2 linked regions of the Rhinolophus ferrumequinum genome follow. Each later gene encodes a partner of the first gene's protein in a complex. Links are inferred from orthologs where the notes say so. Each region holds a gene or a part of one and is shown on either strand. Other genes may lie near its edges.

What was found. The genes of interacting proteins can lie anywhere in the genome.
Region 2: CORO2A (region 1) and GPS2 share a complex: the UniProt entries of both Homo sapiens proteins name them as parts of the N-Cor repressor complex. The link is inferred for Rhinolophus ferrumequinum from reciprocal best matches to the Homo sapiens genes CORO2A and GPS2.

What each region holds. Positions count from the first base shown.
Region 1 is NC_046295.1:54,549,026-54,556,792, forward strand, and holds the start of CORO2A (coronin-2A), read right to left. Parts: upstream 3,067-7,767; 5' UTR 2,954-3,066; intron 1-2,953.
Region 2 is NC_046304.1:11,527,048-11,534,733, reverse strand, and holds the start of GPS2 (G protein pathway suppressor 2), read right to left. Parts: upstream 3,100-7,686; 5' UTR 2,761-3,099; coding exon 2,667-2,760; intron 2,301-2,666; coding exon 2,191-2,300; intron 2,112-2,190; coding exon 1,999-2,111; intron 1,869-1,998; coding exon 1,789-1,868; intron 1,698-1,788; coding exon 1,609-1,697; intron 1,421-1,608; coding exon 1,267-1,420; intron 1,141-1,266; coding exon 1,051-1,140; intron 961-1,050; coding exon 881-960; intron 794-880; coding exon 698-793; intron 525-697; coding exon 441-524; 3' UTR 1-440. Other genes in the region: NEURL4 (neuralized-like protein 4), read right to left, coding at 3,862-4,066, 4,623-4,788, 4,867-4,979, 5,126-5,270, 5,418-5,525, 5,619-5,706, 5,832-6,011, 6,353-6,511 and 2 more. UniProt on the Homo sapiens protein: Key regulator of inflammation, lipid metabolism and mitochondrion homeostasis that acts by inhibiting the activity of the ubiquitin-conjugating enzyme UBE2N/Ubc13, thereby inhibiting 'Lys-63'-linked ubiquitination.

The sequences.
Region 1 (7,767 bases):
CAATATGTTTTTGTCCACAGTGATGAAGTCATGTACTCCTGGCCCTTCATACTAGGTGGAATTGCAAAGCACCTTCTATCTGTCTGAAGGAGGCAAGGCACAGATTGTAGACTTCAAATAATAAATAGAGGATCGTGCTGAATTATTTTCCAGTCCTCCTGAAAAAGTCTCTGTCTCCATATGGTAGAGAAAATAAAAACAAAAACATGCTACGCTCTAAAATAATCCAGGTTCTGGCCATTTGGAAATAACAAAGGTCAAAGGCTGAACAAAATCTCTTTTCAGGGGAAAAAGGCTAGCTGCCTGCTTCTAAGGGGATTCATTTGGTGATGGTAGAGGGACGCTAGAACATTCTTTGATTATCTTTGTGTTCACTGCTCCTTCCAATAAAGACTTCAGTTAAAAGAAGTTTGCTAAGTCTAGAACATGGGTTGTCAGAATTGAAAAAAATCCAGCAATCACTGAAATTACCCCATGTCACAGATGGGGAAAGTGAGGTACAGAAAGGGCAAGGGAGTCATCTATGGTCGCAGAGTGGGGCAGAGGAAGAGTTCATCCTGGAATCTATGTCTGCTGACTTTAGTCTCAGGGCCTTTCTACTATGGGCCACACTACTATGCTTTAGTGCCACTGTTTTTTTTAAGCTGTAATTTTCACATGAAATGTTTATTAATCCTCAGATAAAACACCAAGAGCTGCTTCACTATAAGACAACTTCTTATAAATAATAGCACTACTCTCTTTCTCTCACTTCCTTATGGGAAAGTACTCAAAGTTAGAAGGCTAGGGGCAAAGGACAGTTAAGATAATTTTTGTGGACTTTTGTCACGAGATGCCAGGTTGCACTACAAAATTAAATGCCACTGGAGAATCCCTACAGCCTTGCCAGCATAGAGGTTTATCCTTTTAATTTATTTTTGCTAATTTTATAGGAATAAATACAGACCACTTTCATTTACTATATGGTATGTGTTTTCAAACACACATACACACACACACACGTCTTAGAATCAGGATCCCTGGGCTTGGTTGCTGGTTTGCTTTATGACCTTTGACAAGTCACATCCCCTTTAGAGATAGGGGATGCCTGTCTATAAAATGAGGAGGTTGGATGAGATGATTTCTTAAGATCCCTTTCAGCTTGGACATTCCATAATTCCATGGCACATTTTAAAATTATTAGCATGGGATGACTTTTCAATTACCAGAATCTGCCCTGCCCCTAAACCACGCCAAAATGGCTTGGACTAGCCGAGCAGAAAAACAGGGCCCAGATAATACACACGTAGAGATGACAGGAGACTTAGGAAGTACTTAAGCCTGTGCATCGGAGCTCTGCTCGAGTGACAGCACATATACTTAGTCTGCTTTTATGAGGGGATAATACCACTCATTTGTGGTCTAGTTCCAAGTTCTGTGCAGCTCCACCATGGCCAAAAGACAAGGTCATGGACAGTCTACTTCAGCGCTTAGGATCCCAGACTTGCGGCCAAAGGTAGCTCACCCTGAGCAAGTGCTCATCTAGCCTCTGCTTGCATATCTCTGTTGACACAGAGCTCACTACCTGCCCAGGTGGCCCCGATTTTCTTTTGGCTTTAAGAAAGCTCCAGGGAGAGGGGCAGGTCATGAAGGGGACGAGAGACCGGAAGGCCCAGACTTCGTTCTCAGTCAGGGCCTGCAACAGGAGAAGGACTCCTCTGGCTCCTCCTCACTTGAGACCTGTAAGGCAGCTGCTAAGCCAAAGGTGCACAGGAAGTGCAGGAGGCACAGGGACACATTCTGGTCCTGATGCAAGGGGTTCTGAACAAGCCCCAGGCTGATTACTGCCCACTCGGGGGCAGACATCCAAGCTCCCCCATCCTGCCTTTGCTCCCTTTTGCTCCAGCAGGAGAAACAGTGCTAGGCCTGGAGGTGTTCAGCTTGGAGGTGAGATTTATGGGACCAGGTGATTGCCTCTGGGTGGCGGAGGAGGGGTCAGATGTCTGTGTGCCCAGAGCAGGGCCCGCGGATTCCAGCTGTTTACAGCTAATGAGATCCCCATCATAAGGGGTGTGCAATGGGGCAGTAAGACCTTCCAGAAGGAATGCTACTGAGGGGCTGGCCCAGATGCCAGGGGTCTTTATCCAGAGAGCAGGAAGCCATAGTCCCTCAGACATGTGCGCTGTTCCAGACCCACCCCAACTCAGACACACAGTGCTTTTGGCACTGGGGTCGCCTCTGGGATCCACACATAGACGTGAGCCAGCCCTATCACACCCGCTGGGGCACAGAGCTAGGTGCCAGCACCTGAAATTTAAGGGACTTCCCGTACCATTCCCTAAATCCAGGTGCCTGCATGGGTCTGGTCCAGGCAAGTCTGAGGCTGAGGGCCCCACCACTTTCACCTCAGGGCTCCCCCAGCTCCAGAACGGGAGGCCGACTTGGCGGGCAGACTCTGACGGTCTCACCCTGCATGCCCAAGCTGGCTCCATAGAGACCTGGAGATGTCCCCTGTCCTGTTTCTAGGGCCAGCAGGTCACCCAGCTAAGAGGGGGAGAGTCCCAACACGGGTCCCGCGGGACACTCAGGCCACAAGGGGGCCTGTCGCGACCGACTCGCCACACCCAGGGTGAGCGGCCCTTACTGCATGCGGGAGGGGTGGGCGGTGCAGATTGTGCCCATCCGGGCCCCTGCCCTCGGGAACATGGACCTTGGGGCGGCCCCTCCCCGCAGCCCAGCGAGGAAGGGGCCCACTATTGCACCCTCCATCCCAATGAGGAAACTGAGGCCTGGAGAACAGTGCTTTGTGCAAGGTCACGCGTAGGGGCTAGAAGCCAGGTCCCCCGCGCTCTGCTGGGTCCCCCGCGGCGCGCCCTGCCCTAGCATCCCTCCTGGGGTGCTACAGCCAGGAGGCGCAGCACGCACACAGCGCGCAGACCGAGAAGGCACGGCTCGTGGCGCGGGGCCGCCCTACCTTGATGACGGCCGCGCAGGTGGCGGTGGCGGCGGTGGTGTCCGGCTCCGGCTGCTGCTCCGCGCTCCTCGCCGCCCGCCGAGTCCCGGTGCACAGAGCCGCCGCCTCCTCCCCCCCCCCGCAGCCAGGCGGGCGGGGCCTGTGGGCGGGGCAGGGGCCCGCACAAGCCCCGCCCGCGCGCCCCGCGGGGGCCACCCCTCCTTCCCCCATCCACCCCTCCTTTTCCTACCCTGCTCCTAGTCCACCCCTACCCTGCTCCTTGTCCTCGAGGGCTGGTCTCCCGACGCGCACACTGGCACAGAACAGGCGCGCACACCGGTCCGCGCACGCCGCAGTGATTGGGGCGGGCTCCCCAGCGACCAGGCTGAGTGAGGCTGGGGACAGTCAGACCCGCCTGGCTTTTCGTCCCACCGCTCCCTCTCTGCGTGACACAGGACAAGGGACTCGATCCCCAGGAGCCTCCCTTTCCACTTTGGTGAAATGGAAACAGTAACCGTGTCTGTCTCAGAGAGCTGCTTGAGAATTAGATGAGACGATCGAATTTACCCGCCCAGTAAATAAAATGCGCACACAGAGCCTGCCACAGAGAAGCTCTGGGCAAACCCGGGAGGGAGCAAAAGGGCAAGGAGGGTCGCTGGAGTATCAGGAGGACTCCCTTCCGTCTCCCGGTAGCCAGGAGGGGGCGCTACTGCCCAGCCTCGCGGGCTTGGGGTCCTGAGCCTCCCAGGCAATGGGGAGGAGATGGGGAGGCCCCGCCTTTTAGTAACACCACTACCTAACACTTACTGAGCCAGGCCCTGTTCTAGGCACCTTGACTGCGTTACCTCACTCAACCGTCACACAAGCCTATGAGGTTATACTATTACTCATTTTACACATAAGGGAGCTGAGGCACAGGGAGGTTAAGTACCTCACTCAGGGTCACAGAGCTAATAATTCAACCCTAGGCAGTGTGGCTCCCAAACCCAATTTTTTTTTTTTAAATTGAAGTTTAATGGGGTGACAATGGTTAGTATAGTTACACAGGTTTCAAGTGTACCAAGCCCAATCTTACAGCCACTCCAAACTAAGAGCTTTGTTTTGTACAGTGGTGTATTTAATGTGCCAGGGCCTAGAACTACCTGGCATATAGTAGGCACTCAATATGTATTTGTTGAGTGAATAACAGTGCGTACTACGTATCACTTTACAGACATTATTTCATTTAATCCTAGTAACTCTTTTACTTAGCCACTATTATTACCCCCACTTTACAGATGAAATAATTGAGGCTTACAAGTCGCTAAGTACTTGGGGGCTCTTGATTATCACCTTAGAACAGCCAGGGCCAAAGCCTGTGATTCAGTGTTCACTGGGCCATTCCTCTGCCCAGAGCTGGATGGGCTCCCTGACTACTGCCCAGAGCCCAGTCCCTCAGTCTGGCCTGCAAAGCCTCCACTCTGCAGCCCTGACCCAGGCTTCTTGGAGCTGGATTGCTCAGTGGGCTGGCTGAAGGCACGCTTCCAGTATCTGCATGAGTTGGATATTTGATGTTTCAAAAAAGCATATGGAAAATCAGAACATTGTGGGCGTTCCTTATACTTATGGTTCAATATTGCCTTTGTTTTTTTATTACACCTAGCAGGTGGGCACCTTTCCAACGCTAAGACATCTGAATGCTTAATTCACCTAGGGCTTGGGCAGTATCTTGGGTGTATCCCCCACCCCCTTGCACTCTTACATCCCTGTCTTTGCTGACACTCTGTTCCGCCAGGAATTCTCTTCCTGCTATCTCTGGCTAAGCTGACTCACCCTTCCTTCCAGGATTGGCACCAACACCCCTCCCCAGGAAGGCTTCCCAATGCCCTGTGGGTGTGCCCTGCCATTCTGCATCTTCCTGTCCCGTGCCATGATGGTAGGTGTCTGTATTTGGGGTGAGACGGGTTTAATAGGGATCTCTGGGGGCCATGCGCATATGGACCGAAGGACAGAGGGGAGGCCATTGGAAGCCTCTGTAATAGACACAACCTGGGACTCTTCCTGAAGATGCTGTATTTGTGTGTGTGTGGGGGGGGTCCTCATTTTGCTGCCCCTTCTCTTCCCCTAACCTTGGTCCATTTGAGGAAGGCTACTCCCTGACCATTCTCTGCATTGCACACATGGGGAAACTGAGGCCAGAGTGGTGATGACTTGCATAGGGCCCCTTAGCTAGAAAACCACATAATAGGTCTGGTCCCAAAGTTGGGGCCACCCGCCAGTACCTTCTACTGGGCCTTATTGCTGATTGGGATGGGCCGGGACCAACACTTTCCTTTCCCAGGTGTCAACATAGCCCAGCTTTGTTTAATCTACTGTGTGGGTAAGTGCCTTGTGGGGGACCAGAGTGTGTGTGTGTGAGGGAGGGAGGGAGGGGGAGGGGGGAGAGACAGAGAGAGAGAGATAGAGAGAGAGAGAGAGAGAGAGAGAGAGAGATATCTCCACCTACATGCCCAACTGGAGCTTTCTGTACAACATGGCCCTGTGCCCATGGGAGAGTGAGCTGAGAAAGACTAGGGGTAGAAGCAACTGGGAGGTAAGGTTCTGAGTGTGGGGGAAAGTAGCCCTGAACACAGGCAGTCTGTAGAAGTGAGTGTACCCCTCCCACCTTGGGGTGGAGGTGAGGGGTCTCCCAAAGTGTCCTCCAGGCCCTTCCTCCTCCTTTGAGGAGTTACTTTATTCTTGGAAATTTTCCCCCTGGGTAACTCCTTCCCCCTCCCCTGTAGAATGGAGTGTGGACCTCAGCTTGCTGGGGGCCTAGTGTCTGGAGAGAGATGCTCTGAGCAAGAGGTCCCATCCCCTGGGGTAGGAAGGGGGGCTGTGAGGGATCAGATCCTCCAGCTCTGGAAAGCAGCGGCCCCTGGGGATGGGGGCGACAGCTGTGGTGCAGGGCCAGGAACCTGACACCAGGCATAGGCCCCAAACACCCTTCAGGAAGAGCAGGGGGAGGGTGGGCGGTTTCCCTCGGAGCAGCAAGCAGCAGCCCCAGACCTTCTGGTGTGTGACTCCCTCCCCCCACCTGTCCCTGCTACATTCCTCCCATTTTCCTTTGCCTGGAGCTCTCCCCACAGACCCTACAACCACTCAGGCCATGGGCCAGGCCTGTCCTTTCCCCTGGGCCCTTGGGGGAGATTTTCTAGGTTCCAGACAAGGGGAGGTGAGCTGGGAGGAGCCCTCCCTGGTTTTGCAGTTAGGGCCTCTAAGCTTGAGTATGGCTTAACTTCTCAGGGGCTGTGTGAGTTGGGGCAAGTTAGTTAACCTCTCTGAGTCTTGTCCTCTTTATCTGTAAACTGAGCTTGGCCTGTAGTGGGCTAGTGCTCTAGGACAGGCAGTTCTCATTCCTGCCTCTGCCTCTAGCTCCCTCTTCAGGGATGGAGGAGGCCCCATCAAGTCAGTCCTCACTGTCCTGTGGTCCCCAACAGGCTTTGAGAGGGGCCCAGAACCAGTCCTTTTAAAAGGCTGCTCAGGCGATTCCACGGTGCAGCCACATAGGAACCAGGTTACACAGCACTGGGCCACCTGTAAAGCATCCCACAACCCCCAGTGGGGGAGCGAAGAGTGTAGGTATCCAGCTCTGGGCAGAGCTTCTCCTCTGATGTGTGTGTGGCAGGAATAAGAAATGGGGGGGAAGAGTGAAGAAACGTGCAGAGGAGGAAAAGGGCGAGGATGAGGGGGCCTGGGGAGGAAGGCAGAATGGAGGCGAGAATGGGGCAGAAGTTGGAGGGGAAGAGGAAGGAGAGAGGTGGGGAACGGGTAAGGAGGAGAGGGAGGGGGCCATCGATCTTGTCCGATCTGGGAGTTTTATTTTTGGCTGAGGTGGGAATTTGTTTTCCAAGGCTGGAATCTGAGGGGCCAGCTGTGTCTCCTGGAGCCTTGGCCTTTCGTAGGCTGCAGGGCCCTCCTGGTGATGTTTGCTTCATAAAAAGGCCGCTCACTGCTGTTCACTGTGCCTGGCATCGGCTCAGCACTGGTGTCATCTCCTCTCCCCTGTGGTGGCCCTTGTGGTTACAGCCTGTTGGGGGAGCAGCCAGGACTTCCCCCAGTCCACTCTCATACCACCATCATGCATGCTTCACACATACTGTTTGCTGGTGAAAGGGCCTCGGCAGATGAAAAAAGTTTAGCAAAAATGAGAAAGGTTGTCAAGCTCCAGTGTGGGGCATTCCCAGGAAACCTGGTGCCCTGGGGCCAGCCAGTAGCCCATGGGAATGTGGGACGAAAGGAACGCTGAGTGTCCCCTCCCCAGGGTCGTGGAGGGGCGCAGTGTGGGGGAACTGGGTGCCTGGTGTGCCACGTTCACACCTATGAGTGCCAGAGGGCCTGTCCCTGGTCTCCAGGGACAGGCACGGTCCCCTTCCCCAGCCCTGCACAGGAGCCTCACATCACAGGGGGGTTTCCATGTGGGAACGCCGCACCCCCCATCCTTCATACCAGATTGCTGAGCTCAAGGCTATACTGTGGCAGTCACAGGTTTGCTGAGAAATTAGCAGCCAAAACCACTGTGCAGCCGTGACTCCCTGCCTGGAGGGGGATGGCAGGAGCCTGTCTGCTGAGGAAGGGCCTGGAAGAGCCCAGAACTGACACTGAGTTCCTGCACACAGTGGGTGTGTGCCTAAGAGCCCGCTCTGACTTGGCGACAGGCTGCAGCCTGACCCTCGCACTGCCTTTTCCTCACTCTCCAATCACCATCAGAGAAGAGGTGACTCTTGTCCTAGCCTGCGAAGTTGGTGGTGGGCGGTCAGAAGGCTCTCTGTGCAACCCCAGGTTCCAGGTTCCTCTTGGTAGTAGGGCAGGGGTTG
Region 2 (7,686 bases), on another chromosome or scaffold:
GACCTGCTCCCTCCTCAGGCATCTGGGAGGGCCCTGCCCCTATGGGCATCACCCTTTCCTGTGGGCTCTCTCCCCGACACATTTGTTAAAATCAAACCTGAATAAAACTACAAGTTTAATATGAAGCCCCAACTTGGATGCTTCTTTGAATAAATGGGTATTTGCTGACTTAAAAGGTAAATTTGAAAACCAGAAATAGATTATAGATTGAATTGTGTCGCTGAGTTCATCACAGCCCACTGTCCCACTGATTTATAATGGACTTGCTAGCCACCCCCACCATCCAAGCAGCCCTGGCCTAGTCCAGGTGGGAGGCAACACAAACAAGCAGCCAAAGGTAATGGCAGGTAGATTTTATTGGCCTGGGACTACTACAGCACACTGGGGACCTTCGCCCATGGTGGGGGGTAGGGAGTGAGGCTGATGATAAAATTTGATGGTCACTTGTGGTAGAATCGCGTGTTCTGGCTGTGCTGGATGAAAGGGAGCCGAGGGCCCGGTTGGCTGGTAGCTGCAAAGCTTGACTGGTGGTGGTGGAAGAAGGGTTTTGTCAGTGTGCATGCTCTTCCCTTCCTTACACCCTTAGAATCACCCCAAAGGAAGAAGGGGGAAAAAACAGGACTGGGCCACCTGTCCTACCCAATCCTGTTTTCTCCCATAGTGTAAGGATTGTGACAGGTATGATTACCATCCTTACCTTTCCTGCTGGTTGCATCTGCACGGGGAGCTGGGGGGAGGCAAGGAGCCCAGGGGCTGGATGCAGAGCTTGGGGATGCATGGGGCGCAGGGAGGACTGCAGAGAACAGAATCAAGACCTGAGGCAGCCTGGGGCTCCCCTTAGCATAGCCCTTCCCCTGACCTCCCAAGGCTCCACACTCACTGAGTCAGAGAAGCCAGTTTGCTGGTTAGCATGTTCCATTTGCTTTTGTAAGGACAGAGCACTGCCAGGCTGGAGGAACCCTAAGTAGGGAAGAAGGGTGTGTGAAATGAGTTAGTGAATGGGGAAGGGAGGACCCATGGAACTAGGTCCCCTGCATGGGGTATAATCACCTGTCTGAGTGGGCTGAAAGTGGCTGTGCACGGCATAGGGCTGTGGCTGTGGCTGAGACAGGTACTGTACTGCAGGAAACGCTGACGGTGCTGAGAAAGGCAGGAGGCACAGCCATTAATACCTCCTTTTAGTCTGTTTACAACAAATACTACTCCCTCTGGGCCTTGAGGAAAGTGTCTCCCCGCCCTCCCACCCCACCTTTTTCCACCACTCACCTCTGAGCTGCTGACTAGGACTATAGGCGGGTTGAGTGGGTCCATAGTGAGGTGGGGGCTGAGCAGTCCCATAGGCACCGCCTGGGCTGCCTTGGAATTGCCCATGCTCTGGGGTCCCTGCGAAAGCAGCTGCTGAGCCCACATAGTGCCGGGTCTAAAGAGGGAGGATGACACCTTACTATCTGGAAACTCCTTGAAAGTAGCAACTGATTTGTGTATGCTCCATTTTTCTCTATACAGTTAAATCTATGTTACACTCATGACTTGAATATTGGTTTAGTAAGGGTGCTTGGGTCTGGGTGGAAGTAGTAGTGGAAAAATGGGCCAGACACCCAATCCTACTCTTACTGTAAGCACTTGGGGTCCGAACATCTGTTTGGCTCTGTCAGCTGCCATGAGGGTACCTGGGCGAGTGTGTCCTCCAGGGCTCCCTAGAGAGGAAGAGGGGCTTCGTGATGCTGAAATGGGAGTCTACAAGTCCTAGGAGGGCCCATTCGGACCAGTGGTTTCTTTAATCCTCACCTTGCATACTGAGGAGATGAGTTCCTGTGTGAACAGTCAGGCCCTGTGGGTATGCAGCTGACGTCAGAGTGGTCAGGTCACTGGAGTGAAAGAAAGACCGGTCAAAATCAAGGAGAAGTGCCCCCTCTTTTGCCATTAAACACTGATCTTTTGTTACGTGATCCCAGTTATACTTTGCCCCCAATTTTAATTTTAGCTCTTAAATCCCACCTCTGCTCCTTTCGCCTCCGTTTTTCTTCCTCATGTAAAACTTTCTTGAGCTGCAGGAAAAGCTGGTGCTTCTCTTCCTGTAGGGCCAAAAGCTTCTCTTGCAACTTCAGGATCTGAGAAAGAAGGGGAGAGGAGATAAAGGCAGGAGAGCCAAAGGAAGAAAGAACTGGGAGAAATCAAGGGACTACATACTTGTTCTTTGGTCTCCTCTAGTGACATTCTCTCCTCCATCTCCTTTTTCTTCCTTCTCTCCTGCTCTTCTTTCATCTTCTGTTCCATCATCTTGTCCACCTCTTCTTCCTCTGGAGAAGAGTTAGGCAAAATGGTGAAGTGGCGGGGTGGTTAAAATAATTAGAACGTTAGGGATTGAAGACCAGCGAAAACTGGTTATCCCAGTGCTCCTTTCTGCTCTTGAGAGGGCAGGCCTCTCCCACCACTGCAATAGGGTAAAGGGAGAGGGACGTTTCATTAGGTGCTCTCCAAGGTCCTTCCCAGCTGAAGCGTTTTACAGTTTAGAAACGGCGATTTAAACTCCCACCACAACAGGACTGTTGCACCCCTCCTTTAGCTTCGGCCGCCGGTGTACTGGTCTGCCCGGGGATGGGGGTCAGCCCTGGGATAGCGGTGCCGCCCTGGGCGACTGTCCTCCCGCTTTGGCCCCAACTCACCTTGCCGCTTGCGCTCCCGCTCCATCATGATGTGCCGGTGCAACGCCCTTGCCATGGCGTTGGAAAGCTTGGGGCGCTCCAGGAGCGCAGGCATGGTGCTGCTGGGGACGCTTGAACTGTGGGTGCCCGGCTCTGCTGCAGACTGCCAGACCTCGGACCAGGCCTGCGAGAAGGCGGGCGCTCAGGGTGGATCGCGCCGGGTCCGCGAAGGCGGAAGCCCGCTCGCCGCCCCGATCACGTGTCCGGCGCCTGCCGCCCGGCCTGGCCCGTTCACCCGCCTCGGCTTCGGCGCGTACGCGCGTGCGGGCGGGGCAGGGGTCCCAGGTCTCGACACTCGCGTCCTCTCCCCGGCAGCCCGGGCGCCAGCACCTTCCTACCCGCCTTCTCTACGCTTTCTCCGCGGCCTACTGCGCACTTTGGCCAATGCGTCACATCCGGCAACTGGAATGAATCCTTCCGGGGTCAGAGCTGTAGCCCTCGCGGATTGGGCGGGGAGGAAAAGCCGGAAGCGAAGCGGACGGGTGCCTGTGACGTCCAAAGCCCTCCGCTACGCCGGCCCCGCGCCGTCCACCCCCGGGCGCTGCTTCCTGGCCTGGCGCCAGCCGCGAGACGCTCAGAGCTAGCAGTGGTTACCCCGTGGGTCCCTGACTGGGCCGGTCGGGGACGATCCCCGAGGGGCGCGTGAGAGACAGGCGAGGCGGGTGCTTTGAGACCGTGTTTATTGGCTCCTTAGAAATCAGAGTCATAACAACTGTACAGAGGGCCCCACCTTCCCCGCTCCCGCCCGGTGGCTCCCGCCCGGTGGCTCCTGGAAAAAGCAGCTTCATGGGGGGCACAGGGAGACTCCTCTGGGATTCACAGTAATGAGGAACAAAACGGAAATAAATTAAGTGATACAGGGGAGGGAGTCATAGGGAGTCGTGTTCCCCAAATCAGTGCACGAGGAGGGGTTACCCAGGGCCTGGAGCCGGGCTCCTCACAAGCTCCCTCACCTCAGAGAGTGTTCAAGGGCCCTGGATGTGGAGGTGTGCTCCACTCCCATCTAAATCTCAGAGTCTGCCTACATACTCTTGTGCATCCGCCAGACTGAGCACCGTGCATGCCGTGGGTCACTGGAATGAGGTGAAGGCAGTCATCACTCAAGAGTCCATGGGCCCGTGGCCCAACTGTGCTTGTAGTAGTGAGGTCTCACCCTTCATTCTACCCGTACCAGCAGGGCATAGAGGAGTGTGGCCCCCTTCTCCTTGGTTACCCATTCAAGTTCGGCTAGGCTGAAGTGAGGGTCAGGAGGTTCTCTGAGGGCAGCAGAAGGAGGGCCAGGGGTATAGGAGCCAGGGCGCACACACACCTGGAATGCCACCTGGGCCTGGTGTGTCCGCTGGGATTTGGGGTCCCGGAATCTGTCAGGCAAGAAGTAGAAATAGGGCAGTGAGGCCTCTGGCCTGTCACGTCTTCCCCTTGCTAACTGCAACCACTGCACTAGCCTCCCTGTTCCTAGGAATCACTCCCACCTTGTAGGGAGTTGGCTCTAGCTCTTCTCTCTGTTCCAAATGGTTCTCCTCCCAATGCCGCCTCAGCTAACTCCGTCACCTCCTTCTCCAGTCTGCTCAAATCTCACCTTGATGTCTACCCTGACTACCCTATTTAATAGACCTGCTCCAACTGCACATTTGATCCATTTACCCCACTCCACTTTTTCTGTTTCCATAATATCACTTGTCACCTTTAAATATACTGAATATTACGCATAAACATTCTACAGAGAAAAATGTAAGTTATACAAGAGCAAGGTTCCCTTTTTTGTTCACTGATAGCATGAAAGAAGTGGCATTTATTCAAGGAATGTGTGAGGAAAGGGATGGGCTGGAAACTGAGGAACTAGCAAAACCAGGTAGGGAAAGGGAAGGCAAATCATGGAGACCCAAGTGGCCCTGGGGCCCCCTCCCGTGTACTCACTGCACTTTGGATGCCAGGGTCTCAGCCCCAGCATATTGGAGGGAGGGAGAAAGCAGCACTGCAGGGGGCTGCTCCTCCCGAGAAGGTGCGCAGTTCTCACCAGGCTCCTCAAACCCTCCCGCAGGGTCTCCCTTCAAGGGCCGGCAGCTCAGGATGGAGGCAGTGCCTGTGAGGAGAGCGGGGTCAGGGTAGGCCTGCTGCAGCCCACAGGCCCAGCCTGCCTTGACTGCTGGAGCTACGGTACCTGCTCCCAGCTCTCCTCGGTCCAGCACCCTCCGGACAGCTGCCACGTTGCTCCCATGATACGCCATGTGCCACTTCTTGGTTAGTGTCCCAGCCTCCAGGCGGGGATTCACCCTAGGTGGGCAGAAAGGACAAAGGTCACGGGCTCCCCAAGGTCATCCCCTAGATAAAAGTTCTGTCACTTCTTCCACGCACCCTCTTGGGACCCTCCTTTCTCAAGAACAGTAAGGGAGACACACATGACTCTGTCCCATCCATACCTGAGGTTGAACCTGCACCAGCCAAAGGGCAGGGCGTATTCCCGGGGAGGCTCCCCACGGCGCCTGTGGGCCTCATCCCCTCGCAGCTTCCGGCAAGACTCACAGTAGCACAGGCTACGTTTCGGTGGAGGCATGAAATAATCCTCTGTGGGAGAATGAGTGGTACTTGGTGCTGTGGCTCCCACCCTGCATCTCAACCACACAGCCTTCTTCCAACTGGTCCCCAGGAATCTGGGCATGGCCCTACACTGGGCCAGGGAATGAGGCAAGTTCTGGGGGGCTGGGAACTCACCAGGAAGCAGCAGCAGTTCTTGGAAACGGGAGCAAAGAGCATGGTACTCGCAACTCTTGAGAGGGCTGGCAGCAGGCGGTGGACCCCAACACACACTCTCCTTGATCCCTGAAGGAACAGAGGGGGCACAGGTGACCAGAAATGGGGCTAGAAGTATGCGGTGGGGTGGGGTAGGATCCTGGTCCCTTTGGACTGGCTCACCATCCACCATGTCGGCTTTCTCCATGTCCCCTTGGGTTCCAACACTCTTCCCACTGGCAGCCCCTGGTTCAGGGTTCACAATTGTCACCTGCAGAAAAGAGGGGTGGTCAGCCTCCAGGGCCTGCTGAGCCCCTCCTTGGCCCACAGACCTCCGCTTTACTCGGACAGCCATCTCCCAGGCACCCCCTCCTCCCCACCTCCATGGCCACTAACCTGCTCACACTGCCCATAGAGGTCCACAAGCGCATGGCAGGGCTGGGGGACATCTGGCACAGCCACCCCCTGGTCCATTCCATTGACAAGGAGGTGCAGTCCCCCAGAGCTGTCTAGCCGCAGTCCCAGGATGGTGCCTTCAGGACATGTGTCCAAATTTGGCCCAAACTTCTCACAGATCTAGGAGGAAAAAAGACCTACTGTCTTCCCAGAGATCAGACTCCCACCAGAAGCAGCCACCCCCGCCCTTCACCCTGTTTCAGGTCACCAGTCCCTGGGCTTTGCTTTCATACTTGCCTACTGCCTGGGCCCCACCCACTGCTTCAATGACCTAGACTTCGCCTCCTCTTTCCTACCACTGCAACGTTCTCAACGGCAGGGCGATAAGAGGCAGTAAGCCCGACTGTCCAGGTAATGACACTCACAGCCTCGTGTGAGCCCACCCACTACAGGGCCCCTTTATACCTGTGATCCTACCTCCAGAGCTCAGGACCCCGCCCGTCTCTCTGCTCCCTACCCACCTTGAGGCCATTGTGGAAGACCCCATGGCCCCGGAGCAGCCAGGCTGCCCGTTTGAGGGCACAGGCAGAAGCAGGGAAGTTGAGCCTCTCAGGTGGGCAGGTGATGACTCCCAGGACAAGGGAAGATGTCCACTGCCGGTTCAGGAAATCTATCCGCACCTGGGGAAGAAGGCAACTATTCCCCAGTCATGGCCTCTTAGGAAGAGGCCACCCACCCAGCAGACCTATGCTCCTCACCCCAGCCAGGGAGGGAAGATGACACCTCCCAGAGTGTGGCCTGGGATGCTGCCCCTTCTGATGCTTGAAGGCCTGGAAACTGCAAATTCAGTTGTTTCTTCCCCTCTTTCAGCCTTGGTTTTGTTGTTGACTCTGTAAGGATTCTTGTCCCTAGTGACTTCCTTCCCCTGGCGAACACTAACATCTCTTAACTTGCAGTAGAAAGACCCCTCCTCTGGAAAGCCCTCCCTGCGCCCACATATAGGACCTGGTGGCTTCCCTGGACTCCCCCAGCTCTCCCCTCCTGTTTCCCTCGCTACAGTCATCAGGTGGGCGCTTACTGGTTACCGACCAGCAACTCTCACCACAAAGTATGAACAAAAGCCCAGGAAGCTCATCCAAGGGGCTTGCCTTCCACTATGTCCTCAACCTGGAAAAGCCATGCTCCAAGAGGATTGGCCCTGGGTCACCTGAGCGAATTGCTGGGGATAAGGAGGTGAGGCCCACCTGGACCAGAAGCTGGGGCACTAGGGGCTGGCTGATGACAACAATGCCCTGATTGTAGCTGGCCACCCGTGTAGCTGTACGGTTCCCATTGGACAAGAGGATATTCTTCCCATGGTTTTCCAGGAACTCGAGGGCTGTAGGCATAATAGTCACTTGATCTTGGCCCTGGTATGGAGGAGAGACTGAGCTACTGGGTTTGCCCAGGTGAGGCCCAAGTCATCCAAGTGGAGTGGCAAGCTCACACAGAGCTTGCACATAAGCTTCTGCCCATCCAGCACAGGATCAGAGAACCCCAAAACGACCTGGTGGCCAATGGCCCACCCACCACTCATCCATGTGCCCAGAGGGCCCTGCCGCAGCCTCTTACTCCCAGGCCATGCTCCTCGCCCTCGTCGTCGTCCTCCTCGCCCTCACTTCCGGTGTCTGAACTGGGGGATGGAGGCTGGGTGCCTTCTGGCTCCTCCAGCCTCGTGGAGCTAACAATAGACACACTCCGAACTGGCCCGTACAGATCCAACACAGCCCACACATTCTGGGGGCACAAAAGACCGAGGAAGTTGATGAGTGGAAGACCTCAACCTCACTCCCAGAACCCAAGGCAAGTCTTGGAT